Linked DNA regions of Rattus norvegicus. The protein of the gene in region 1 interacts with the protein of each later gene in a biochemical or structural test. Links are inferred from orthologs where the notes say so. Each region holds a gene or a part of one and is shown on either strand. Other genes may lie near its edges. The genes, in order: Rad51, Sem1, Abl1, Evl, Rad54b, Rad51ap1 and Sumo1.

What was found.
Region 2: the proteins of Rad51 (region 1) and Sem1 form a complex in vitro, tested with the Homo sapiens proteins (2 studies listed by BioGRID). The link is inferred for Rattus norvegicus from reciprocal best matches to the Homo sapiens genes RAD51 and SEM1.
Region 3: the proteins of Rad51 (region 1) and Abl1 form a complex in vitro, tested with the Homo sapiens proteins (2 studies listed by BioGRID). The link is inferred for Rattus norvegicus from reciprocal best matches to the Homo sapiens genes RAD51 and ABL1.
Region 4: the proteins of Rad51 (region 1) and Evl form a complex in vitro, tested with the Homo sapiens proteins (2 studies listed by BioGRID and IntAct). The link is inferred for Rattus norvegicus from reciprocal best matches to the Homo sapiens genes RAD51 and EVL.
Region 5: the proteins of Rad51 (region 1) and Rad54b form a complex in vitro, tested with the Homo sapiens proteins (2 studies listed by BioGRID). The link is inferred for Rattus norvegicus from reciprocal best matches to the Homo sapiens genes RAD51 and RAD54B.
Region 6: the proteins of Rad51 (region 1) and Rad51ap1 form a complex in vitro, tested with the Homo sapiens proteins (6 studies listed by BioGRID and IntAct). The link is inferred for Rattus norvegicus from reciprocal best matches to the Homo sapiens genes RAD51 and RAD51AP1.
Region 7: the proteins of Rad51 (region 1) and Sumo1 form a complex in vitro, tested with the Homo sapiens proteins (2 studies listed by BioGRID and IntAct). The link is inferred for Rattus norvegicus from reciprocal best matches to the Homo sapiens genes RAD51 and SUMO1.

Annotation. Positions count from the first base shown.
Region 1 is NC_086021.1:126,560,710-126,564,209, forward strand, and holds part of Rad51 (DNA repair protein RAD51 homolog 1), read left to right. Parts: intron 1-1,656; coding exon 1,657-1,794; intron 1,795-3,500.
Region 2 is NC_086022.1:35,655,663-35,659,619, reverse strand, and holds the start of Sem1 (26S proteasome complex subunit SEM1), read left to right. Parts: upstream 1-1,157; 5' UTR 1,158-1,284; coding exon 1,285-1,360; intron 1,361-3,957. UniProt on the Homo sapiens protein: Component of the 26S proteasome, a multiprotein complex involved in the ATP-dependent degradation of ubiquitinated proteins.
Region 3 is NC_086021.1:35,471,587-35,475,086, forward strand, and holds part of Abl1 (tyrosine-protein kinase ABL1), read left to right. Parts: intron 1-833; coding exon 834-986; intron 987-2,519; coding exon 2,520-2,609; intron 2,610-3,104; coding exon 3,105-3,269; intron 3,270-3,500. UniProt on the Homo sapiens protein: Non-receptor tyrosine-protein kinase that plays a role in many key processes linked to cell growth and survival such as cytoskeleton remodeling in response to extracellular stimuli, cell motility and adhesion, receptor endocytosis, autophagy, DNA damage response and apoptosis.
Region 4 is NC_086024.1:133,237,119-133,241,346, forward strand, and holds the start of Evl (ena/VASP-like protein), read left to right. Parts: upstream 1-1,428; 5' UTR 1,429-1,916; coding exon 1,917-1,921; intron 1,922-4,228. UniProt on the Homo sapiens protein: Ena/VASP proteins are actin-associated proteins involved in a range of processes dependent on cytoskeleton remodeling and cell polarity such as axon guidance and lamellipodial and filopodial dynamics in migrating cells.
Region 5 is NC_086023.1:29,881,465-29,884,964, reverse strand, and holds part of Rad54b (fibrinogen silencer-binding protein), read right to left. Parts: intron 3,259-3,500; coding exon 3,033-3,258; intron 1,331-3,032; coding exon 1,123-1,330; intron 1-1,122. UniProt on the Homo sapiens protein: Involved in DNA repair and mitotic recombination. May play an active role in recombination processes in concert with other members of the RAD52 epistasis group.
Region 6 is NC_086022.1:161,448,560-161,452,059, reverse strand, and holds part of Rad51ap1 (RAD51-associated protein 1), read left to right. Parts: intron 1-1,523; coding exon 1,524-1,610; intron 1,611-2,017; coding exon 2,018-2,170; intron 2,171-3,201; coding exon 3,202-3,363; intron 3,364-3,500. UniProt on the Homo sapiens protein: Structure-specific DNA-binding protein involved in DNA repair by promoting RAD51-mediated homologous recombination.
Region 7 is NC_086027.1:68,600,004-68,604,194, reverse strand, and holds the start of Sumo1 (small ubiquitin-related modifier 1), read left to right. Parts: upstream 1-1,391; 5' UTR 1,392-1,432; coding exon 1,433-1,444; intron 1,445-4,191. UniProt on the Homo sapiens protein: Ubiquitin-like protein that can be covalently attached to proteins as a monomer or a lysine-linked polymer.

The DNA.
Region 1 (3,500 bases):
AAGACTAGGTTTCGGGGTTGGAGATTTAGCTCAGTGGTAGAGAGCTTGCCTAGCAAGCAAGGCCCTGGGTTCAGTCCCCAGCTCCAAAAATAAAAAAAAGAAAAGAAAAAAAGACTAGGTCTCATGTAACTTAGCATGGCCTAGAATTCACTGTGTAAATGAGAATAACCTTGATTGCTAATCTTAATTTCACCTCCTGAGTGTGATTATAGGTGTGTAACCAGTATTACCTGTCGTTTTGTGTGTTGTATTTTACTTTTTAATTTTTAGATTTACTATTTTTTGTATATAAGTGTCTGGCTTTCATGACTCTGTACACCACCTCTGTGCCTAGAGCCCAGAGAGGTCAGAAATGAGCTTCAGATCCTCCTGGAACTGGAGGTGAAGGCAGTTATAAGCACCATGTGGGTGCTGGAAACCCAGGCTGGCCCAAAAGTCACGCCTGTTTCCCAGGGCCTCCTTTTGTGTGTGTGTTGGGGGTGTGTATGTGTGATTTTTTTTAAAATTAGCCTGTGTTAAGTTGCATAATGATATGTTTTGTTATGTTTATGATGTATTGATTGGCTCCCTGTCACCTTCACTTGCCCTCCTCCTACTGATCCCTTTCTCTTCCCAGCACATCCCCTTCTTTCATCTGTTTCTGTTTGTTTTGTTGACAGTTTTTGGTATGGAGCTCACTGACTAGGCTGCCTGGCTAGTGAGTCTCAAGGGTCTACCTGCCCTTGCCTCCCCAGGTGATGGTAAACACTGCCACATCTCACGGTCTCTCCAGCCCAAAACTATAACTTTGATAATGAAAACATTGATAATTTGGTGTTTGGGGTTTTTTTTCTTTAGACATAATGATATTTTTGTACTATGTAATTCAAATGTTGATTTCTGAGCTTCCATATCTAGTTACAGTATTCTATCTCCTGCCTCAGTGTTGTATGAGCATTGCTCCCATTTATTCTTTGGTCAATAAAGCTAGTCAATCAGCCAATGACTGAGCAGGAGAGAAGATGGGGCTGAACTTCCTTCCTTCCTTCCATCCAAGGGAGAGGGCATCAGAGAGAGGAGGTAGGAATTAGCCATGGGGAGACAGTCTAGGAGACACCATGAGAAAACAACTAGAGCGGAGAAAGCCATAGAATGCAAGTATCTCCGAGATTCTGGCTCGGAAGTGGCCAGATTAGCATAGAGGATTAAAATAGAGTAATAAAAAAGTTGTCATGTCATTACAGATTTGGTAAATAAAAATACAGTCCAGTCTTAGTTATTTGGGATCTAGCTGGCTTAAGAGGAAAATTGTAACACACTTATTAAAAAACCATTAGCAGGTGGGAGGGGGAGTTTAAAAAAAAAGCCATTAACAGGTTTTAGTTTTGTTGAGACAGTGGTTTTTTTTTTGGGGGGGGGGGGGGAGTAACAGCCCTGGCTATCCTGGAACTTACTCTATAGACCAGACTATTCCCAAACTCAGAGCTCCACCCGCCTCTGTCTTCCACCTGATAGTATTAAAGGTATATGCCTTTAATTTGTTATTAATAACTCATGTGTAGTCAAACTTTTCAGGGGTTTTGCATATATTTGTGATCTTCAAACATGTCTCTGAGTGTAATTAATTAATATCCGCATTAGACAAGAGACCTAACTTTATTCATTGTTTTCTTACAGCAATGTGGCATAAATGCCAATGATGTGAAGAAATTAGAAGAAGCTGGTTACCACACGGTGGAGGCTGTTGCTTATGCACCAAAGAAGGAACTGATAAATATTAAAGGAATTAGTGAAGCCAAAGCTGACAAAATCCTGGTAAGTACCTATGTGATGGCGGAGAGGCGGAGGCATTAGTGAGAATAATTAGTACAGGGTGCTGTACAGTGATTGGTCCTTAGTCCCCTTCCTCCCCCTTGTCACCTGGTTTCCATTCTGGAAGTGACTGCTGACAGCTTTTATTTTAAAATCTCCCCCCCCCCCCCCCCCCCCCAGAGCTGGGGACCGAACCCAGGGCCTTGCGCTTCCTAGGTATGCGCTCTACCACTGAGCTAAATCCCCAGCCCCTTATTTTAAATTCTTATTTCCTGTGGAGAATTGCAGTATCGTGGAAATTGATATAAATACTGCCAAAAACACATTCCCACCAGCCCACAGTAAAGTTGTTTATCTTATCATTTTGAATGTGATCTCACCTCAGAGGGATATTTAAAATTATTATGTTATGTATATGCTGTTGTGGTCTGTGTAAATAAATTTTTATAAATAAATTTTTATTTATTTATTATATATAAGTACACTGTAGCTGTCTTCAGATACACCAGAAGAGGGCATCGGATCTCTTTACAGATGGTTGTGAGCCACCATGTGGTTGCTGGGAATTGAACTCATGACCTCTGGAAGAGCAGTCGGGTGCTCTTAACCGCTGAGCCATCTCTCCAGCCCTAAATAAATAAATCTTTAAAAAAAAAAAAAAAACTGTAGAAAGAGAGGCTGAGTACATGTTTCAGTGGAAAGTACTCACCTAGCATGTGCTAGGCTCCAGTTAATAGTCAGTACCACCAGAGAGGGGGAAAGAGAATGATATTGGTAGAATGTTGATATAAAAGTCACATGGTGACTCAAGCATGCTCAAAGTCATAGGTTCCATCTCAACAGCCACTGAAATGCCAAGATAACAGTGCACATCCACAGTACCTCTTAATGTTTTTATTAACCTATATTAATACGTAATATTCCGGGGGCTGGGGTGCAGTGTGAAGGGTCTAGAGAGATGTTCGTGGTTAAGAGTATAATCTGATCTTGCAGAGGACCTGAGCTTAGTTTCCAGCACCTATGTTGAGTTATCTTACAACTTCCTTTAAGCTTCAATATAGAGATTTGTTAGAGGGCTACCAGTATGCCTTTTCTGGCCTTGGGACGGATGTGTGAGAAGATACTCAAACATGAGACTCTTCTCTGCCAAATATAAGATCAAAGGCACCAGCTCTCCTCCCCTCCCCCCCCCCAAAATTCCACTTTTTATTCACCTTTTTTTTTTTTTTTGAGCTGGGGACCGAACCCAGGGCCTTGCGCTTCCTAGGCAAGCGCTCTACCACTGAGCTAAATCCCCAACCCTTTTTATTCACCTTTAATCCCAGCATTCAGGAGATAGAGGCAGGTGGATCTCGGAGTTCCCTCACAGCCAGAGCTACATAGTGAGACCATGTCTCAAAAAAAAGGGGGGGGGGGACAGAAGGAAATTGAAGGCAAGCATGGTGATACACACTGTAATCTCAGCAGTCTGGTTTATGTAAGTTCATGCTGACATTCAAATTCTAAATACATGGATGATTTTAGGATGTATTTAATTTACGTGTGTGAGTATTTCACTTGCCTGTATATATGTGCATCATGTCCTGGTGCCTGCAGAGATCAGAAGAAGGTAGTGGGTCCCTGGCTCTGGAGTTTTGGTGATTGTGAGTTACCACGTGGGTTCTGGGAACTGAACCTGGGTCCTCTGTAAGAACAAGAACTCTTAACCA
Region 2 (3,957 bases), on another chromosome or scaffold:
CTGTCACCGGGTAGTGAGCCACTGGGGATATATTTCTAGCCCTCTGTTTACTTTTAGTTTGGGGACACAGTTTCACTAAGTTGTCCAGGCTGATTTTAAACTCATATTGTACCCAAGGATTCCTTCTGCTCCAGTCTCCTGAGTAGTAGGGATTACGGACTTGCTTCAGTTTTCATATTATCTAATAACGTTATATTTGCATCTATAACTATGCATGTTATATGTATAATCTTGATTGTGGTGCTGCAAATAAACAAATTATACTAAAGAGAAATTAAGCTTTGCGCAGTGGCAGTATCGTAGCCTATGAGGTTTATCCGAGGCGCGATTATTGCTAATTGAAAACTTTTCCCTAAAGAGAAATTAAGTACCTCATCTAAGACTCCTTTAGATGCAATAGAGCATAGTTTGTAAGCTCCACAAATACATGTTACTATGTGGTTAATTTAGGAACTAGTGGGGTTGGGGATTTAGCTCAGTGGTAGAGCGCTTGCCTAGCAAGTACAGGCCCTGGGTTCAGTCCTCAGTTCTGGAAAAGAAAAAAGAAAAAGAAAAAGACAAAAAAAATTAGGCACTAGCTTTTCTTATATCTGTCATTGTCTTGTTTTTTCCATGTGCCACAATTAAAACAAAGAAAAAGAAACCAAAATTATATCTTTTGAACAACAATACAACGTTACATTATTTCTTTTTCATTTAATTTTTACATCAACCTGTCAACTAGTTAGAACACAGAGACCCTACCACACACAATTCTAAGGCCAAGGGGCACAGCACAATGGAAACGTTGGAACACAGTCAGGATTGTCTAGTATTGAGTGACTTCGCCTGCCTTTGGTCCTGAGTTTCCTGTGATGTGGAAATATTTAACTGTGTGCTCAAGGAATAGGTTTGAGTAGTGAAATAATGTATGTTGTGGGGCCTGGCTCTTAGCTGATGTTACTTTATCTTTTTAGATTTCCGTTCATGATTGTAAGCTAAGTATTGTTCTTTACTAATTTTACACATTGTAAATCTTTCACACGTAGACAAGTACATGAATAATAAAACGAACGAACACTATAAAACAAAACAGTTCGCTGGTTCAAGACAGGAGGACCGGCTACACCCGCAGGAAGCTCTGGGAGGACCTTCGGTGTCCCAGCATTCCTCGCGCTGCCCTGTAGCTCTTCCCCTCTAGTCTCTATGGTTGCGCCGGCGTTGGTAGTATCGGCGCCTCACTAGTACTGAGGCTTCCAACTTTGTGGTCGATCTCTGAGCGTTGTTGGGGCTTGGCGCTGCGCTATGTCCGAGAAGAAGCAGCCTGTCGACTTGGGTCTCCTGGAAGAGGACGACGAGTTCGAGGAGTTTCCCGCGGAAGGTAACCGCCAGGCCGCGCGCTGGGACCGGGGCCTACGGTGGGGCGGCGTCGGGCCTGCTCTCTGAGTCTGCGGGGATGAGCTGTGCCCAGCCGCGCGGATCCCGGCACGGCCTCCGGGTGTCCAGGCTTCGGGTTCGGAGTCCCGGTAGCCGTCGCTTCAAGGCGCGGCCCAGTGTTTTGTTCCTTGTCGCTGGGAGGAACCAGGTGAAGCTGGGCCCTCGTTGCCGCGAGGTTGGGCCTTTAAACTCCAGCCCTAGACTCTAAGCATCTACACAATCTCTTGCTTTCCTTGGGTTTCACAGCCTCCCCTTGGTATTAAACTTCAGAATCCCACTGTTGCCCCAGACAGACAGTGCTGTCTACTCTTAGGACAGCGCGAATGAGCCCTCTGAAGTATGATGGTAGAGTCCTGTGTGGTATACTTATTACAAATTTTGCCTCAATTTCTCTTCCTCTCCATTTACGGTCACTTGAATTAACCCAAGCTTTATAAAACTCTTAAACATCTGCATTCTAAACTAACTTCAATACTAGGGATGCTTTAATTGTCTCATTGTAGATAATATATATAGCTAATGTTGAAGAGTTTGCTCTATGATCTTGGGAATGTAAGTGCTTCACTTGTATCGCCACAATCCATTTCCACAAATATAAGAAGTAGATACTAATGTGTTTACCATTATTCACATAAGGAAACGGAAGTTTGGAACAGTTGAAAAACAGGCCCAGTGTCAACTGGAATTGATAAAACTGAGATGACTTAGTTTACACCAAAGTCCTTAAGTTTAACAGTTACCTTCTGTTTGCTAGCTGGGCCCCTTTGGCCATGTTTTAAATTGATTACTTTATTGACTAATTGTTTTCAGTAGAATTCCCAAATATTTACCCCCTTTTTAAAAAGCGAGTTATACTGTTGCCTTTCTGAAGGTGGTAGGAAGAGAATTGTGGGTAGTCGTGGGCACATATGGCATCAAGCAATTATCACTTGGCAAAAATTGTACTTAGTTACCCCACCTTGGTCTCAGGGTGCATAGAATCACATCCCAGGAACATTTAGTCTGTTGCGGATAATGCAATGTTTTAATATTAGTGAAAGAGAACATTAGTATATATATATATTATGCAACCTCAAAAACCAATTTAGAAGATATATTTCCTCCCAGTTAGGAGTCTATAATATATTATGGGATAGTTTACCTTTTGTTTAGGTAATGAATTTATCTGTCCAGTCTGATGTTTTCAGGCCCATTAATAATCTAAATAGAGCTTTGTGGTAAAATTGGCTAAGTGAGGGAAGGTTAGATTCTTAGTCTAACTACTTATTTCAGATGCTCTTTATTATTATATACAAGTTACACAGTTAAGACACTTGCTTTGCATTGAATAGAGTTCAACATCCAATCTTGAAGCAGTAGAGTTCACATAAATAAAACAAACCATGACTCTTGCCGTTAAGTGGCCAACTCAGAATCTAAGAGGCCTTCCTGACCAATGCACCCACCCAGATTCTAACCCTTACCTTTAGTGCAAGTATTTATTTAAAATAACTAGATGGCAAAAGAATTTAGAAGTAACTGTCAGCTTGACAGTGTACTAGATTTTTTTCAGCACTTTTTGTCAACTTTAGTGTAGTGTCTGTCCTTCAAAGCCTGTATTTTGAGTAGTAGTCTCTTTAGTGTTGACAGTTGTATTGTGTTTAAACATTCTATTGAAGTTAAGGAAAAATATTCTAAAGACAAAAGAATGCACAGGAGACAGTGTAAATGCAGTGTCATTTATTGATCTTCCAAATTTGTTGTCTCTGTGAGAATGTAGAGTCTAGTTTGTTGAGGAATCTTTACATTTAAATGAGAAGTAACATTTGAAATAATTTGTTATGCACATGTATGTTTCTTCTGGTTAACAGTTACATAGCCTTAATTTAAATTAGGGAGATTTTTGATATATAATTAATTCGGTGAAATTACTAAGTATTTACAAATTAAAAACTGATTACAAACTAAAGGAAAGAAAACCTAAAAAGAAAACAAAAACAAAAAAACTGAGGAACTTTCTTTGTTTGAGACTAACCATGTTCTTTCAAATTTTTGGTTTTGTCATGCTATAGATCTACTGTTGCTGATGAAATACGGTTTCATGGACCAGCAGTCTTGGCATTTGCATTGTTTGAGGGGATGTTAGAAACACTTCTTAAAATTTGCATCTTTCAGTATTTGAGTTTTCTATTAAGTTTTTTGTACCCTTATTTTACTTTCAAGTGCTTTTCCTTTGGAAAACCCATTCCTTTTTGGTTTGTTTGTTTTGTTTTGTTTTGTTTTTTTTGTTTTTTCTTGTGATGGCCCTTTATGAAAAATATACCACTGATAAACGCATTTATAGAATAAATGAAACATTTTCTTGTTAAGCCAATCTGGAGCTGTCTCTGCCATTATAGGATGTCTTACTCCAGGGGTTTTGTTACTTGAGAGCGCTCCATAGTGAGCAGACTACTCTCTGGGTTGTGTGCAAACTGTACACTGTAGAGCTTGTCACAGGCAAGTCATTGAATTGTTTTCACAGTGTCGATTGGGAGTGTTGTTGCTCCAACTCCTCCCACA
Region 3 (3,500 bases), about 91 Mb from region 1:
TAGTGTTTTGTGGTGTCACTCTGAGTTCTTTGTTGACACATTCCTGTGTTCCAGTATACTGTGCTTCTTCTCCTCATCTCTGGCCGTCTCCTTCCTTGTCCTTTGACAGTACCCTGTAGTCTTCCACAATATCTGTGCTCCAGGGAACAAGATAGTCCGGGCTTCTTCCCTGTCTTAGGTCTCAATCACCTGTTTTTCTAAGGAATCCTGGTTCTTAGTGGGAAGAAGGATGCCACGACTTTGACAGTTCACAAGATTTTTACAAACTGTTGCAGCTGGAAGGGACCTTGGAAGTAATCTCACCTTCAAACAACCCACGGCCCGACAGGCATGTGGCTACAGTCACAGAGCTATGCTCAGAACATGGCAGCTGACTTAGAGCCCTATGCTGCCTACCCGAGGGGGACCCTGTGCCCCAGGAGGCTCACCTTCCCCTCTCTCCCTTGCATGCTTTAGAGTAGCTTGAGTAAACAGCTTTGCTCTGTCCTACCTCTCCTAGGCTATTACCATGGAGAGCCTGGTAACTGTCAATGCTGGGACTGCTCTGCAGGTCTCTCTGCTGCACAGCGTGGAAAATGCCTGTATGTCCTGTGTGTGTTGGGGGCGGGGTGTGTGTTTGGGTGTTTTGGTATGTATGTGTGTGATATGTCTGTTTGGTTGTGTGCATGCTATGGCACACATGTGACTGTCAGAGCACAACTCTGTGGACAACTTCTCTCCTTCCACCTTTATGCCGGGTTTCAGGATTGAAAGGTCATTAGCTTTGTGCAGATGCTACCTCACTGGCCAATGCTCACACACCCTGATAGTCTTCCTCTCCCTCTTTCTTTCAGCATTTGGAGTATTGCTCTGGGAAATTGCTACCTATGGCATGTCACCTTACCCGGGAATTGACCTGTCTCAGGTTTATGAGCTGCTGGAAAAAGACTACCGCATGGAGCGCCCGGAAGGCTGCCCAGAGAAAGTCTACGAACTCATGCGAGCATGTGAGCCTCCCCAACCCATTCAGCACTACTCTGAGGAAATTGCACAAAGCCATTCCAGTGGGCCCTGGCACTCTGTCCCTGTGTTCCCAAGCCATCCATGCAGTGTGACTTTGAGTCTTCCGTGCGCTTATTCCCAGATGTAGTACCTCTGGGTTGGTTTTGTCTCCCTCTGGGACAGCTAGTTTTGGTTTTTGTTTGGTTTTTGTTTTGGATCAGGGTCTTGAACTATGTAGCCCTGACTACACAGTGACTCTCCTGCTTGAACCACACAAGCTCGAGGACTACAGGTATGAGTCACCATGCCCAGGTCGCTTTAAGTTCTTTAAGCATAGAGAGGGTTAGATGTCAACCTGGGTATTATTAGTACAGATCCCTAGGTCCTGCTTCCAAATACCTGGCTACAAATCGCTCCAGATGATAGAACTCTGGTGTTTGTATTGTGCGAGTGTATGAGCGCATCTGTGTGGTGTGCATGTGTGCACATGGCTGTATCATGTGTTCATGTGATCATTCCCTCACCTTTTTTTCCTAGCATATAGTGCTGCTGTCTGTATACTTAGATCTTCCTCACCATGTTCCCTACCTTCATTAATGCTGCTGTCTAGCATTTCAGTTAACAGTTTGAAGCATCCACTCATATTTTACACACTTGTTTGCTTTAATTATATTTTTATTATTTATTTTGTTTGTTTGTTTATGGGGCATGCATTCTACAGTGTACAGTTTTGAAGAGCTGATTCTCTTTTTCTACTGTGTGGATCCCAGTGGTCAAACTTAGCATCAGTCTTGGCAGAGTGTGCCATTTTGTGGCCCTGTGTTTGCTGCTGCGTATAAGGCAGACACACACGATTAGCCTCGTCTCTACATGTAGCACGATATTCCTAAAAGCTGGGCCGTAGGTCCAAAGAATCTGTGCTGTGATAACAAACCAGTGATGTTGCAGACGGTTGTGAGTCCCATGGGTACTGGGAACTGAACCTGGGTCCTGTGCAAGAGCAGCAAGGCTCTGAGCTGCTGAGCCACCTCTCCAAGCCCTAGTCCTTTTAGTCTCGTTGTCATGCTATTGGTGATACAGGCTGTGGTCTCAGTGCAAGGTAAGCTGAGGCAGGAGTATTGCTTGTCAAACAGCCCAGACAGTAATGAGGTCTAATCTCAAAGAAGCAAGAGAGATGCTCGTCTGTGCTAATGGGGACGGTAGACACTGATAGCATCAGTAAGGATGGTGACCGAGGCAGGCTGTTGCCTTGTTAACTCCCTGTCTATCACTGGGGTTTGGAGAAATGTTTATAGATGTGGTTTTTATTATCGGTGTCTCTGGGATTTTGCAAACAGTATTACTGCCTGTATATGATGTCTTCTTAATTCTTAGTGTCTGTCAGAGGACACAGGAGTTTTTGCCATTAGCCTGTCCCAGCCTCAGCCATCAGCAGGCTTGGAATGCCTCTTTCATGTCCAGACTGCTCCTTGGGTGTGGCTAGTTCTGGTTTGTTAGCGATGCTCTCCGGCTGCTCTGACGTGGCCTTCTCTGTCCAGGTTGGCAGTGGAACCCCTCTGATCGGCCCTCCTTTGCTGAAATCCATCAAGCCTTTGAAACCATGTTCCAGGAGTCCAGCATCTCAGACGGTAACATGCCTCCCAGGGGCCTGCAGTGGGTTGAGGGTTGGGTTGAGGCTGGACAAGCCTTCACTTCAGACCTGGTACCAGACAGCACTCTTCAGAGGCTTTGGTGGTGGCTCTGTGTCTGTCAGGTGCAGGCATGCAGAGTTCTAGAACATGCCAAGAGCTGTTTCTTCTGCTTTGTGTTCCTTTTCTCTAACTGCATAAATCTTAAGAAAAAGAGAATCCCAGGAACTGGAGAGCTAGCATGGTGGCTAAGAGGACTTGGGGTCAGTTCTCAGCACCCAGATGATGGTAACCCACGACACTAGTCACAGAGGATCCATTACCAGCTTCTGGCCTCTGCACCCATGTGGTACACAGACATACCTGCAGGCAAAATGCCATACACATAAAAAAAGTAACTTTAAAATAAATTAGAAAAAGAGCAAAGAAAAAAGAATCCCTTGCAATCTGGCATCTTTGCTGATGACTACTGGGTTATGTTTATGTGGTCCTTAGAGGTGGAGAAGGAGCTGGGGAAACGAGGCATGAGAGGAGCCGCCGGGAGCACCCTGCAGGCCCCAGAGCTGCCCACCAAGACCAGAACCTGCAGGAAAACCGCTGAGCAGAAAGATGCACCTGACGCCCTGGAACTGCTCCACACGAAGGGCCTGGGCGAAAGCGGTACGTCCGCCCTTCCCATCCCTCACCCCTCAAACCAGGCAGGCAAGCAGAAGCCGTCAGTGGGCCTGGCACAGAGGGCATCAGTCCCTCCTCAGTGGTCCAGCCCAGGGAAGAAGATTTGCCTCTTGCCCAGGGGAGCCTTTCAGCAGTTGCTTAGACAAGCTGAAAACTGGGACTCCTGCCAAGAAAGCACATCCACCTTTGCTGTGCTCTTCACAGCCCTGTGGGCAT
Region 4 (4,228 bases), on another chromosome or scaffold:
CTCTGCTGTATCCTGCTTCCCTGTGGAGGATGCAGATCTTTTTCTAAACCAGCCTTACAATGTCTGCAGAAGCAGAGGCCCCACATTTAATGCCAAACATGCTCAAACCTCCCTGAGTTCCCCATCCATTAGGTGGGAATCCTAAAGCTCACCTTACAGGCTGCTGGGGCTCAATTGAAGCCCCAAGGTCAGTAGGAAACAGACTGAAAGGGACTTGCTCACATTTCTCCCTATTCCCACCTGTCCTTCCCCTTTCCCGAACTCAGACTTCTGAAGCCAACCTCTATTTGCAAATCAGAATGAAGGCTTTATTCCTCGGAAGTAGAAGAACTTGTGTTTTCCACCCTTCTGATACAAAACGTTACAAAAGGTTAACATTTTTTGAAACATGTGACCTCAAAAAGATTTCTTTCTGGAGGCCACCAGTCCTTGGCTTTGAGAAGTGATTCCTCATTAGTGTCAGTGATTCTAGTGGGGGCGCGGCGGAAAGACGGTGTCTTTACAACAAACCCAATTGATTATGCCCTCCAAGTCACAGAATGGCAATTTGTTAGATCCCAGGAGCAAACACCTGGCGATTGGTGGCCACAAGCAGGAAGAACACAATGCCTTGCTGGAATCAAGGTATGCAGCAACCAGGACTCTCCTGAGGACACCTGGGATGCCTTCAGTTGACCTGAGGCCCCACTATTTTCACAACTCTTAGCACGTGACAAGGCTCTTCTGTAACCAAGAGACCAATATAGATCCCAGGAAGAAGGGAACCAATACGGTTAGGAAGACTATGACCTCAGGCAATGCTAACAGTACTGCAGATCCAGGAATCCGTTCAAGATTGCATCTTTCAGCCCTTAATGCTCTGTTCTGAATGCACTGGAAAGCTGGTACAAGTAGGGCTCCATGTGCCTCAACACTCTCCCCCCATTCAGCCTTGACTCACAAATCACACCCTTTGCCCTAAGCCTCTCCACCTGCCCTTCCCTCGACAGCTCCTCCACCACCAGGGATTCTGTGGGGTCTCCGCCCACTCTGCCCGCCTAGCTCCAGGTCTACGCCCCAATCCCCAGCCCTAAACCCACGACCCTCCAGGCTTTTCGGTGGAGCTCGGCTTTGTTTCTCCCTACTAACTCCTTCTTCCAGGCCTTTCCTAGACCTAAGATCCCGAAGCTTTCCCGCAAAGGTCGCCCGGAATCTTTCCCTTGCAAACAAAAATCCTGGAATTCACTAAGTTAACCTGTTCCTCCAAACTACAGTTTCTCCCAAATTCTCCTTTGGGACCTTAGGCCACGCCCCCTGTCTTGCCCCCAGACTCCATGGCCCATCCACCCTTTCCACAAAGGTTCGCCCCACCCCTCTGGACCTGGGCCACACCCCTGTCCCGCCCCCTCACGCTCCGCCCTCTTAGAGGCGCGGACCGCCGAGCCCCGCGCCTTTTGTGTGGAGCTTCTCTGCGGCGCGCACCCATTCCCTCCGCGGCCGCGGACCGAGGGCCGTCGGCGCGCGCAGTCCCCTCTGCGGGCGGAGGGTCCCTCCGCCCCGCGTGCACCCCGCACCCCATCCTCCCGCCGCCGCCCCGAGTTTCAAGGCGGACGCGCGCTCTCGCTCCCGCCCTCGAGACCCCGCCGCTCGCCCCCTCCCCCGGCCCGTCGGCTGGCGGGCGGCACGCGCACGCGCCGGCCCGGGCACGCGCGCCCGCCAAGATGGCAGGGGCCGGGGCCCAGCTGTCAGTCGCCGCCGCCGCCGCGGCCGCGCTGCCTCGCAGCTAGCGGCCCGGACGCCCGCCGGAGAAGATGAGCCCCCGCCGCCGCCTGCAGCCCAGCCAGACGCGGAGCCGCCGCGCCCGGGGCCGGCTGCCCCGCTAGCGCCCCGTCGCGCCGCGCCTTCATCCCCGGCCCCGTGCCCGCCCGGCAGCCACGATGAGGTGAGTAGGGGCCTCGAGCGCGGCGAGGCCTGGAGCGCCGGGCGTGGAGGGCGGGGTGTCCGAGCATCGAGGGGGCACCGGAACCCTCAGCCGGCGGCCCAAGCACCAGAAGACAGTCAGGCCCCGGGGTCCGCGGGAGGCCGCGCCCGCCTTGTGCTGTCTGCCGGCTGTGAGCGCCTCAGCGGCGGTCCTGTTCACTTCGGCTTCTGTAGCTCATCTCCATCAGGGCGCTCTCATCATCACCTTTCTTTCTGACCTGTCCCCTTTCTCTTGCAAACCCGCACATTGTGTAACCCCCAAAAGGTACGGCTTTTGATGTGCCCCTCAGCCGGAACCTTGTCAACACCCAGAAACTCCCGTGCTCTCTTCATCGCTGCTGCACCCAGGTTTCCTTTCCAGACTAACCTTAGCCTGCTTTCTGGGGTGGGGTGGGGGGCGGGGCGGGGCGCATGGCAGCGTATGCCGGTTTTTTTTTTTTCTCTTTCTGTGCAATGTTATCTTCTAGATACATCTTTCTTAAAAACACTGTAGTGTCCAATTGTAGATTCGTTTCACCTGTTTTGTGAACTGTATAAATTCAATAATGCATTATGTAATTTTTGTGTCTGCCTTCTTTCATCCAAGGTATTTCTGAAGTTCATCCATCAGGTTTCTATTATCTACTGTCCTGCGTAGTGTAGACAGTCCACACTTTATCCATTCTGCTAATGTTAGTAGACTTTTGGGTTGTTTTGGGCTATTAACCGTTCGGCGAATATGCCAAAAGCATTCATTTCTAATGAATATATATTCTACCTACCCACAAGCAGGTTGTTGTTGGTTTTGTTGGTTTTTTTTTTTAAACATAAAATCATGTACATCTTTTGTTGTAGTGGATAGAACTAAAATTCCCAAAGTCATGTTACCAGTTTATACCAGCAAACATTTAATAACCCTTGTTTAAAATCCCTGACACCCCTTGGTATTGTCTGATGAAATTTTAGCCATTCTGGTGAGTGTGAAGTGACATTCCATCAGGGTTTTAATTTGCAGTTTCTGGTTGACTGAAGAGGCTGATTGTCCATCTGTGTATGTTTGGCATTTTTTAAAAATTAAGTGTCTGTTTAAATATTGTCCAGTTTTAGCGTGAGGGGTTGTCTTCTTCCTAATTGGTAGAGTTACTATTCGTAAGTGAAGAAGATAGCTTGCTAACATTTTGCAGAAATTTTAATATTTTGCTTTTTATATAAAATAATATGGTCCACCTGGAACTGGTTTTTGTGTAATGTGTAAAAGGAACTGTTTTCACATTTACCTATCATGATTTATTCCTCATCGTTTACCAAGCTCACTGTTTCCCTCAGCTGCAATGCCACCTTTGTCATCTTTCAGACTTCCTTTTGGGGTCATATCTGTCTGAAGAACGTCTTTTAGTGTCTGTCTTTCTGCCTATCGCAATGTTGGGTGTATCAGACCAAGGCAAGGGTCTTGCACGCATCCAATGATTGCTATCCGAAGCTTTTGCTTGTCTGCTTTTTGTATCTTTTATGTATATGAGTGCATGTGTGCATATACATTCCGTAGGGGCGGGGGCACACCCAGGCCTGGGGTTAGCATTAGGAGTTATTCTCCAATTTCTTCATTGAGGCAGGGTCTCTCAGTTGAACCCACAGCTGGCCACTAACCATCTGTGGTCCTGTCTCCTTCTAACAGAATTGTAGGGAGGCTGCCACACCCACCTACTTTGATATGGGTTATATGGATAGACCTTCAAGCTTGCATGGGAAGCAGTTTATCCTTGAAACCATCTCCTGTGTCTTTGTTTTTGTTGTTTTTGAGCAGGGTCTCAGGCTGACTTGGAACTTAACCATCTCCTATCTGCTGGGATTCTGAGTGTACACTGCCGGCCTGGTCCCTTTAGTATTTTTTAGTGTAGGTTCTGCTGGAGCAGATTGTTAGACTTTGTTTGAAAATGTTTATCCTTCACCTTCCTCTGGTTTATAAGCAATTTTATTGAGATATAACTCATAGCACAAAGCATCCAGGGAAGCATGCAGTTCATGGTTTTTAGACTGTCCACAGAGCTCTGCAACCATTACCATTAGAACCTTTTCCTCCACTTTAAACACTCCTTTCATTGGTTAGTTTCGGAACTCAGCACTCCCCTGGCTCCAGCTTTTCACGCTGTCTTGTAGTCTGACTTGACTGTTTCTGGTGAGGAGTCACTTGCTATGTTATGTAACGTGCTTCAGATGTCAGGAGAGTGGGGCTTGCTTTGTCTGCTTCTAGGTTTTTGGCTTTTTTTTTTTTTTTTTTTTTTTTTTTGAG
Region 5 (3,500 bases), on another chromosome or scaffold:
CGGCTGCCCACTCCTGGGAAGTCCAGTGAGTGAGGAAAGAACTTTGTCTCAGTGCCTGCCGTTCTTTCCAAAGCCCTTCTTCACACCCATCTTGCCCCCACCCCCCAGAGCTAATCTTTTCTGTTTTATAGCTGCAATACTAGCCTCATGCTGAATGGGGAGGAAAAATAACCACATAGTAAAGCCAAATCCAGTCCCTTTCCCATTGTTCCTCCAGTCTAAAGGCTCTCAAGACCCAAGGCTGAGCATGAAGTCGGAAGACTCCTCTCTGTTCCTCAAAGACATGGGAATCACCTAGACTCTGCTTCGCATTTCTCCAATTCCATTTCCTTTAAAAGAGAATTTTCTAAGTACTAAACACCAGCTTCTCTACTATCCAATTTTTATGTTATTATTACATAGAAACATTGATTGGTTATCTACTAAACACTGGCATCAAAGTATATATGATACTTGATGCCAAAATTATTTTCAACTTTAATTGACTAGATTAAAACAAAACAAAACAAAAAACAGGCCCAGAACGATGGCTCAGCAGGGAAAGAGTCATGGCCAAGCCTCACAACCTGAGTTCCATCCCTGGGACCCACGCAGTGGGAGTATAGAACAGACTCCTATAAGGTGCCCTCTGACCTCCAAAGCATGTGCACACCCACACATATACACACGAAGCAGAGATAAAACAAGGCTGCGTGTGCAAGACAAAATGTCTACCACATAACTGAGTTACATTCACAGGGATCAACTCCTCTGGGCCTCAGGACAACTCTGTAACATGACGCCATTATCTCTATTTCACAGACAAGGAAATCGAGGAGCCAAGAAGTTAATTACTTTCCCAAGTTGCGCACTTCACTGGCAGACTGAGAAACCAAGCACGCCCAGTCCAGCCCCATCAGCCTCATGCTTTGCTATGATACATTAAATTCATTCCTCAAAAGGCAGAAACAGGGCTGCAGGAAAGTGCTCAGGGATCTGAAGACTGATAATCAACTAACATAGGCTTATTCATATGAATTCCCCCAACATCGCCAGTTCTTTTTATGTTAAGCATCAGATTACAGACTGTAAAGGTTCATTAACCAAAAATTCCACCCCATCTTCCCCAATGTGACTACTAACCAGTCAGAATTACTCTCTTCTCACAAGAGAGGCTAGAAAGGGCTGCTGTTGTCTTAATACCACTGTTCTTCAACCGGTGCCCCTCATCACAAATCAGAAGGCCAAATGTTATGGTCTTAATTCGATCTAGAGAACGAAGTAACATTTCATAACTGATGATAAGAACAGAGTGAAATGCAGAATTGATAAACTCCTCGACTTTATGGTCCTAAAGAGAAAAAAATAATAGTTAACAAACCATAGACAGAAACTATATAATCAAATCTAAGCAACATACTTTGCCCACAAGTAACCAGCTATCACATTAGCCAGTAACCAGTAACCAGCTATCACATTAGCCAGTAACCAGTAACCAGCTATCACATTAGCCCTTCCTGTCTTGGTCCTGTTGGGCTGCACTAAGAAGGCTTGAACAACAGCAATGACCTCTCATTGGGATGGGAAGCCAAGACCGGCCCATCAGTGAAGTTGGCTGCAGCCATGGACTCTGGTATACTCATTTTGTTTTTTCCTTCCTTCTGAGCTCTCCTGGGTTTCTCTCCCCTACAACTGCATTAGATCCCACGACAATCTCTTAAGTCAAAGGACAAAATTACACCCGCACACCCAGCAACAGAACCTCCTCGGCATCGCCAAAGCCCCATGGAGCTGACCATAACACAACGGTCTCAGGTAATACCAACCAGACCACAGCCAGACTAGTAAGACCTCGACTGTTAGCATAAAAAGCCTTCCCTTTCTCCTGAGTTTCACTGGGAAGTGTGGCTCTCATAGTGAAGAGGGGAGGATCTATCTCATCTCCCTTCCTTTAGTACCAGCATACTAATCTCCACAGAGCTCCATCCTTATGACTTTAATCCTAGCCACCCTCCAATGCCCTATCTCCTAAAGCATTACAAGCTCCTGAGTGACTTCTGATGGTTGACTTCTGGTATTTTGATTTGAAAATGGTACATAAAGCCATTCTGTTTTCTCAATATTCAGAAAAACAAAAAAGATATTCAACACCCTCTTATAAAATAGGTTTTTGTAAGGTGATTACAGACGATGTTAGCAGCCAGTCTCTGCTGAGCCCCCCACCCCACACTGACTGTGAACAGTCTCACCATGGCACCTCAGCTGACAAGTGTTGTCTAGTGAGTCTACAACAAAGGGGTTCCCATACTGTCCCTGACCCACTCCATGCCTCCTGCCTATGAACCTCCTCCTCCTGAAAAGTTATAAAGAGACTTCTTCTTCTGCCCCTTGGACTTTGATTCTCTTCAGAGACACTGCCATGATGCTTTTTTGTGCTGGGGACCGAACTCTCCTCAGAGTCACGCTGTTGTCTCTGTCTCTCTAAGTCATTAACAACACTTCTAATAAACTTCTTAGTCCCCAGTAATCCAACTCAGTGTCATCTTGATTCACCTGCCCACATATAAAACCTGAGTTTTTTGAGGTACAAACTAATATAACTGTTTTAAGCACATTTAAAGTAAATTAGGCTAAACTATAATGTACAAAATATTACATGAATTCATAACACATATATGTAGTTATGTATATAACAGGCTAGATCTCATTGTATAGCTGAGGTTGGCCTCAAATTCTGGATCCTCTTGTATGAACTTTCAAAATTCTAGGATTATAGACATATGCCCAGCTGCGTTCCCAACTTATGGCAGTGCATAACCACATGACAAGAAAATGAACACTTGCACACTGAGAGTCAACACCTGAACACGTGACTCTGGGGAACCAAAGGTAATCATCTGGTAACAACTCAAAATCAAAATGTAGGTCAAAACTCCATTTCTATGCAAGGGGCTTGTGGAATTCCACACACTCAAAAAGCTAAGAACTATACTAAGCTAAAAGGCTAGCTATTTTAAGAACATTTAGGACTTAAACCTTTAAAAACCCCTTACCTGATCAACAGTGAATATCTTGATCCTTTCGCTTCCCAGCCATTTTTGAAATTCTTTTCTCCAATTATTCACCAAGCTTCCAGGGGTAACAATAAGTGTCCTCTTTACTATTGGCTTGCCCCCGTAAGGCCCCTGACACTGGAGGGTCCAGATGAGCGAGATACACTGCAGGGTTTTCCCTAATCCCATCTCATCAGCAAGAATGGCACCACATTTGCCAACTGCTCTGTTAGAAATAATTAAACTGCATTGAATCACAATGGGAAAATGTTTCATGCCCTGATATCATCAAGAACAGGAAACTGGTAATAATGACCCTGCAGACTAGTTTAGTGTTTCATCTAGCTGATAACATCCTACCAGTTTTGAGTCTTTAACAATTATAACCATTATGTATTGTGAACTAATTACCAAAACATGAATCTGAAGTTAAAAATCTGAATATAAAACCTCTATTACTGTCACTAG
Region 6 (3,500 bases), on another chromosome or scaffold:
AGGTAGGCCCTCACAGAGGAAGGAACACAGCTTAATCTATAAAAAGAGCACTTGGCAGCAGTCACCCTGGATTCAGTTCTTTATTCGACTGTGTCAGTGTCCCACACATACGTTTCTTTGCTTCATTCCTAAAGGATAGGATTTGCCCTGTGCGGCAGCTGCTGCTGTGCGGTAAGAGTCCAGTCTTGATGAAGTTATCTGTATAGTCCTAACAGTTCACTTCCTTTCCCTTTAAATCCAGGTTTCTTGAACGTGTCCTAATAGGAATAATTTGTGAGATACTGGAGGTGCTAGCCAGGCGTGGTGGTGCCGGCCTTTAATCCCCAACACTTGGGAGGCAGACGCAGATGGATCTCTGACTTTGAGGCCAACCTGGTCTAAAGAGTGAGTTCCAGGGTAGTCAGGGCCACACAGTAAGACCCTGTCTCATAAAGAAACAAACAACAAAACCTTTCTGAAAGCTCAGACTTCAGAGTGAGACTGTGACTTCTAAGTTTCTCTGTGATTTTGTTTTTTCTGTAACTTTGTATGTGTGACAGAATGGGCGTAGCTTTTAATTTTTTTAAGTTACTTTTATCTCTAAAAATAAACCATTATTATTAGGAAGGCTATTAACCAGGAATCAGACATTTTAAGAGTGTTGTTATGTGCTATATCTAAAATCAAAGGACTAGAATTCATTGCAGAAGACATGGAAACCTAGAGCAGGAATTTTCCTTGGAATTGGTACTTCTCACTGAGTAATGCTCTTCATTACACAGGGACTTAATGTTGTCAATATCATTATTTAAGTCTCCTAAATACTTGGAATTGGTTGTGTTTTGTTTTATAGTGAGTGCTAGGGCTGAAATCCAAGGCTGCCCACCTACAGTACGAATATTCTAGCATTGTATCATTTTTAGGTTGTAATGACTGGAAAGCGTTTATATCAGTTGCTGTAATAAAATACCATAACCAAGAGCAATTTATAGAAGACAGTTTATTTTGTCTTGTGGTTCCAGAGAGTCTGTGGTGGGGACCATGGCGGTAGGAGCAGAAAGCTGGCTGATCACATTTCTGTTCACATTCAAGGAGGATAAAGAGCAGACTAGAGGGACTGAGCCTAACCTCTTCAGCCTCCAGTGAGTTACTGCCTTCAGCAGGGCTCCACATCCCAAAAGTGCTCATGTGAGCTTACAGGGACAGTCCGGCCACCACAGAGCTTAAGTCAGCATGACTGTGGATTCGTCCACACAGGGTGATATTACTTATTTATTATCTTCAAATGATAGACCAGGAATTAGATCTAGAGACGATGAGCAGGTTTACAGACGGAGGCTGACTGTGAACCTGAGTCATTGTAGAGCTCGCACTCACAGTGTGTGCTGGCTCCTCCAGGTAAAACATCTGGGCAGGTATGACTTTGAGGTGGTTTGTTCCCGTCTATGTGTTAATATGTGTTAGCGTGTTTCAGGGATCATCTTCCTGCTTTTTAGACAATGACTGGTTGGGATGCGGCTGAGGTTCTTTTCTTCCTGTGTTAGGCACTGACACAACCGGCAAAAGGAAAACGGAAAAGACAGATAAACCTCCTCGAGTCTCTAACTGCAGTGTAGCCAGTGATGATGTAGGTAAGTTTCGATATTAATGACAGCTCTTTTCACTCACAGTGCTATTTTTCTAACTTGTTTAAGTTCTTACACCCATAGCTAGAACAGTCTCCCCATCCTGGCCCTTGTTTCTTTATGCTTTAGTCTGGTTCTCTCTGACTGCAGATCTACTCTCTTCCACACTAGACAGTCGTGACTACTCAGACCCTTCATTCCACAGTCGGTGGCCACATAAGAAAGGGCTGCATCTGGAAAGTTCTTTGGCTATGACTCATTAAGGTCTCAGACTTACCCTTAAAACCAGAGTCTGTTCCTGGGAGACTTTGTCCTGGCATGGCCCATGGCCTGGTGTGTGTTACTGGTAGCAGAGGAGGGCAGCAGAGGTCATGGAATCTGCCCGGAGTTCTCACTGGTGTTCGTGTCTCCAGAAGATTTGAACAAGATCACAGAGGAGGGGGACGTCAGAGATGTTGAAGGAGAGAGGAGAACAACATCTAAAGCCAGGGCTCAGCAGAGGAGGAAGCTCTCAGAAGGCAGCAGTGGCAGCAGTGCTGACGGCACTGAGCCGGACAGTGCGACTGGTGAGCTGTGTCCTGCTTCGGGTTACTCTGCGGGAACTCAGGAAAAACTGCGTGGAGAGCAGGGTAGACACAAAGCACTGTATTGAGCCTTGGAAGTTTGTAAACTGGAGAACTCATAGAACAGTTAAATTGAGCTTGGCCACATCGAGAGAAACTGTCTAGGGGTAACCTTTAAGCCAAATCTGAACAAACAGCATTAGAAAAACCAAAAGAATGAAGTCACATTTCTGACCGAGGGAAAGGTGTGAGCATTGAGACAGACTAGCACATTCGAGAACCAGCTCAGTGAGACTTAGGAAAGAGGCGGAAGCGGCAGGCTGGGCTGTCACTAGCCATGGACCAACCCTTGACCTGTTCCAACAGGTTTCAGCTTTTTTTATAACTAGTAGAAATGTATGAAGTATGTTGAGTTGAAAGTAATATGAGACTATTTTATTATCAGTTGTTTTCAGACTTAATAGAAATAAGGGCAGAGGGAAAATATGACAGAATTGTAATGTGTTAAAAATTTAAAAGAGTAAGTCTGTACATTAACACCAATCAGACACAGTGTTTTAGATTTTGACACGCTATCAGCAAATAACAGATGTGCTCACTCACTGGACAGATATTTGATGCTTTTGGTATATGTCATAGTCTAGGCGCTAGGGAGCAGTCATGAGAGAAACAGCTCAAATTCTGATGAGTGTGTCACAGGAGGGAACACCTATGTAACGTTTTTAAAGCGATGGTATATAAACTGAAGGGCCTCAGGCAGCCCAGCGGAACTTGTCCAGCAAGTGTGGATTCCGTGGTTTGAGCTCTAGGACTAGAAAATAAAGCCCCACAAAGGAGAAGGAAGTGTGGAGGTTATAAAGGGATGCTGGGAGGTGTTAGGTCAGGAGAGCTGACGTTTGAGGTCAGGCACCATGCTTTCATGGAGGTAAGACATTCTAAGTGTGCTGAGTGACCGTGGGGCCATGGCAGATGACATAACAGAAGTCTCATGTTTTGTTTTAAAACCAAGAAAGACTGTGTAATTTCTGTTTTAGGTGAAGATTCAGAAAGTGATCCTGATTTTGATGAGAGTGAGGAAAGCGATGAAGACTTTGGTGTGAGAAGAGGTAAAGAAACAAAGAAGAAACCAGTGCAGAAGAAACCCAAAGCAGAAAAGAAGGAAAGGAAATCAAAACCCAAACGTGAGGAGGCATCAGGTGAGCCTGCTCTCAAACCCATTGTTCTACAGGGTCGGGTCGGGTCTGTTAGGTTTCCAGATCTTCGCCTGTGCCCTCTAACATTTTGCTAATGCACATGTCTAGTTAAAAGGAATTGTGGCTAGGGACAAAAGCTA
Region 7 (4,191 bases), on another chromosome or scaffold:
TTCAAATTCCTTCTTTTGATGTGAATGTTCATATTTTCATTAGTAATTGTTAATAATTTTTTAATTTTTATGAGTGTTTCTGTCCGAATGTGTGTCTATGAACCACATTTAGGCCTGGTGCAGTGCTGAAAAACATATCAGATTCTCTGGGACTAGAGTTATAGGCATTTTTGAATGCATATACGGGTGCTGGGAATCAAACCTGAGTCCTCTGGAAGAGTAGCCAATGCTCTTTGATTGCTGGGCCACTTATAATCGGCTCATTACTAATTACAGAAAAGATTATTTTATTAATGTCTTGTACTGTGAAGGTTTTTGACTTACTTTAGTTTTCATTTTTCCCCCCTTTACTTAGTATAACCTTAATCTTCCCTGAATGTTTGTGCAAGAGGGTCACTGTATTCAAAGGAAGATGTTTAGGTCTATGATGTAAGGCAACTAGTTTATGAGCTGGAGGGAGCTCTTGCAACTTCAACTTTCAATAGCATTTTGGTCATCTATAGCCACCAAGACTTTGTTCTAGAGCTGGAGATGTGGTGGCCCAGGTCTTTAATCTCAGCACTGGGGAGGCAGAGGCAAGAGGAGGCCAGTCTGGTTGACTTAGCAATGTTCTATAATAGCCAGAGCTACTTAGTGAGACCCTGCCTCAAAACACAAAACAAAACCAAAGATGTGACCGGAAGGGTTGTTTCTTCATGCCCCACCCCTAGACTCCCACAGGGTTCTTCCATGTAGCCTTGGCTGTCCCGGAACTCACTTTGTAGACCAAGATGGCCTCAAACTCACAGAGATCTGCTTGCCTCTATCACTCGGAGTACGCCACCATAACTCAGCTCGTTGTGGTTAACTTCATTCACTCTGACATGCTAGTGGCTTCCAAATCGCTTTCACTTTCTCTCTTGTAGAAAATGAAAACTTGTTACTATTGTATTTCTAGTAATCAAAGTCATGAATGTGGCAGCAGCAAGCAAGAGGGGGCCATAAAGATATTATACAGGGAATTCACTATATTCAGGAAGAGTTGGTTCCGGCCTCAGAAGCGTACAAGATGTCCAACAGGGAGGAGCCTAAGCGGTCAGTTTGACCCCAAACACACACAGCCTGCAGGCAAAGCGCTGGTCTCCCTAAGGCCTGAGGCAGCGGGCCGGTTTTCCCGGCCCCGCTGAAGACCTAGCGGTTCTCTTGCTCCAGGAAAGTAGCTTAACCTTGACGATTTCATCTCCCGCATTCCCTAAGGCGTTTTCCCGCTTCCCTTTCCCGTCTTCCCAAACTCTCCTCTGCGCGCTGCGGAAGTGACGCAAGACGTAGCGGAAGTCCCTGCAGCCGCGGTGTTGTGCTGTGGAGAAGAGACGGATTTGTAAACCTCAGAGTGCGGTTCTGCCTGCCGGAGGCCGCTGTGGTGCGGAGACCCCCGGGTGAATCCACCGACACCATGTCTGACCAGGTACCGGGCCACGGCCTTGGGGCTCAGGGCCGTCGGCTGCTGGCTGAGCCCCTGGAATGGGGCGCGGGGGGAGGGGGTGATGTTGGGGGAGGGGGCTGCCGGTGGGGAGGGGGCCGCGAGGGACGCCGAGCGCCTGGCAGAGTCGGGCCGAGCCGCCTGGGATCGAGGGTCTCCGGGTTTTACGCACCCTCCGCGGCCCTTTCGGAGGCCTCTACCCCCACGCCATCCAGCGCCGGGTCTCTTTCGACTGCTCCCAGGTTTCTCTCGGGCTCGCTGGGGGCCCAGGCCCGCTCCCTTGTCCGTGAGAGCAACCTGGGGGAAAACGACCGTTTCCCTTTCAGAGGACCGATGGCAGAAACAAGGCCCTAGGCCCAGTTATGTAACGGGAGAGAATCCCTGCCTGGGAGGCTAGGTGGCCCTGAAAAGCAGCTCGATTCTACTTTGGGTTCTTGGTCCCGGAGAGTGGGGGGCGGGCAGGGATCCTTGTTTGGGGTGACTGGGAACCCAGGAGACGCTGCTTTTCAGTTGTGTTTGCCTGGAGGGTCAGTCCGTCTTTGCCCACTTCAGAGTCATTTTTCCATCCGGGGGTGCGGAGCGGTCGACTCTTTCTCTGTACTTTCCATTTCTTACTCGGGATTGGTCCATCAACTCTCCAGTTGTAGGAGCGCTCAGAATAACCGAGAAACAACAAACTGCGTAGAGTGCCACCACCAACATGCCATCCATACGGTTTTTGTCTGGCTTTCCTTTTGTTTGGTCAGATGACTTAATTTTCAGAGTATTTTTTTTTTTTTTAATTTTTACTTCTTTAGTTACAATTCAGCAAACTTTTTTCATTCTACTTTACATTGTAGTTGAGCTTTTTTAAAATTTTTTTTGTTGGTTTTTTTTTTTTTTTTTTTTTTGAGACGTTGGTTTTCTGTGTAGCCTGGTTGTCCTGGAACTCCCTCTGTAGACGAGGCTGGCCTCCAGTTTATAGAGATCCGCCTGTCTGTTTCCTGAGGATGAAAGGCTTGCAACCACCCCAGACTGGCCATAGTGGTTCTATTTTTATAGCCTATCTACACTGTAAATTAGTTGTGGGATGGATTTACTTATTAATAATCTGGATTATTAATCTTTTGGGCTAGAAATGACTTTATGAAGCCCATAATTTGTTTATGACAGTTGTTTACTTAGTTACCAGAGAGGAGAGATCAGCTGTGTAAACGCTTATGCTTCATCAGACTTCTATTTTTAAAGCATGTTAGCCAGATGAGAGGGCAACATACAGAAAGAGTTTTAAGTTTTAGGATTAGTTTTGCTCTAGTTTGAACTTACATTATGTGAGGATATGAAGAAAGAAAAGAGGACCCTAGGACACAAGGTTTCAGGGAGTCTGCAAAGTCACTCTATGCTTGCTTAGGACTCTCTCACCTCACTTGGGGTCTTTGGGTGCTGGACCTAGGGCCTCCCACATGTGCTTGCCAGGCAGGCACTAAACCCTCATTTCTCCTTTTACTTCATTTCATTAAGTTGTCTAGGTTGGACTGTAACACACTTGTCTTTGAACTTGGACTCCCTCAGCCTTGCAGAGTAGCTGGGATTACAGAGTTATGCTGCCACACTTGGTGTGTGTGTGTGTGTGTGTGTGTGTGTGTGTGTTTCTCATTCTATCATGGATGTTCAATGAAAATTTTAGAAACATGACAAAAAAGTAGAACAAATCTTTTTTTTTGAGGCAGGGTCTTAACTATGTAGCTTTTCCTGGCCTGGAACTCAGTTTCTCCTGTGTCTGTTTCCTGAGTGCTGGGATTAAAGATGTCTACCACCACAGTTGGCAAAACAAGTCTTTTTTTTTAAATTGAGCTACACATTAAAGCAATTTGCATAGGAAATAGTGCTGCTACTCTTAAAATTTTTGTCTTTAAAAAAAGTAATAAAAATGTATCTAACATTTTAGGGGTTTATTTAGTTCAAGTCAAGGGTTTCTCTGTGTAGCCTTAGTTGTCCTGGAACTTGCTATGTAGATCAGATTGGCCTCAGATTTTCCTTGCCTTGCCTCTGCCTCCCAGAGTGTATACCACCACGACAGCTGGGTTGATAGGTTTTTAAATCATTGAGAGTGTGATAATGGATTTGGGAGCTGTTGCTTTAGGCTGATGGATAACATTAATCTTAGTTCCCAGAACAAGTTCAGTATTGAGTGTTAAAGATTTGGAGAAAACGGTTAAGTGAATCCTTGCCTGTAAGAGGTTTATAAGTGAGAGTAGGAATCCCCAAGTACTGTGTGTAATAGCAACAGCCTGAGACTGAGCTGTCTTCAGAAGGTGGCCTTAGAGGGTACTTTTTCAAGTTGGGGGGTTCGATAATGTGCTTGACTTGAATACAAGATGCCCTCCAGTACCCATGCACATTTTATTTTCTGAGGCAACTCTTAGAAGCTTGTATCTTGTGCTTAAAATAGTCACATTGAGTAATAGTTTCAGCTTTTCTCTTTGTTTTGAGATGCTCTCACTGTGTATCTAGGCTGGCAGTGATCCTTCTGTTTTTACTTTCCTGAGTCCTGGGATTACAGGTGTATGTGTATGCCACTGTGTCTTGCCATAATTTCAGTTTAAAATGAGTGGATCTTTATATCTAAAATAGATCACAATCTAATGCCTAAACCTTGAGAATTCACTGAATTATGCAGTTTTTTTAAAAAGAAGGTACTATAGGTCCCATCATTGGTACATGATTTCCCAAAGAATGAGGATCATTCTATA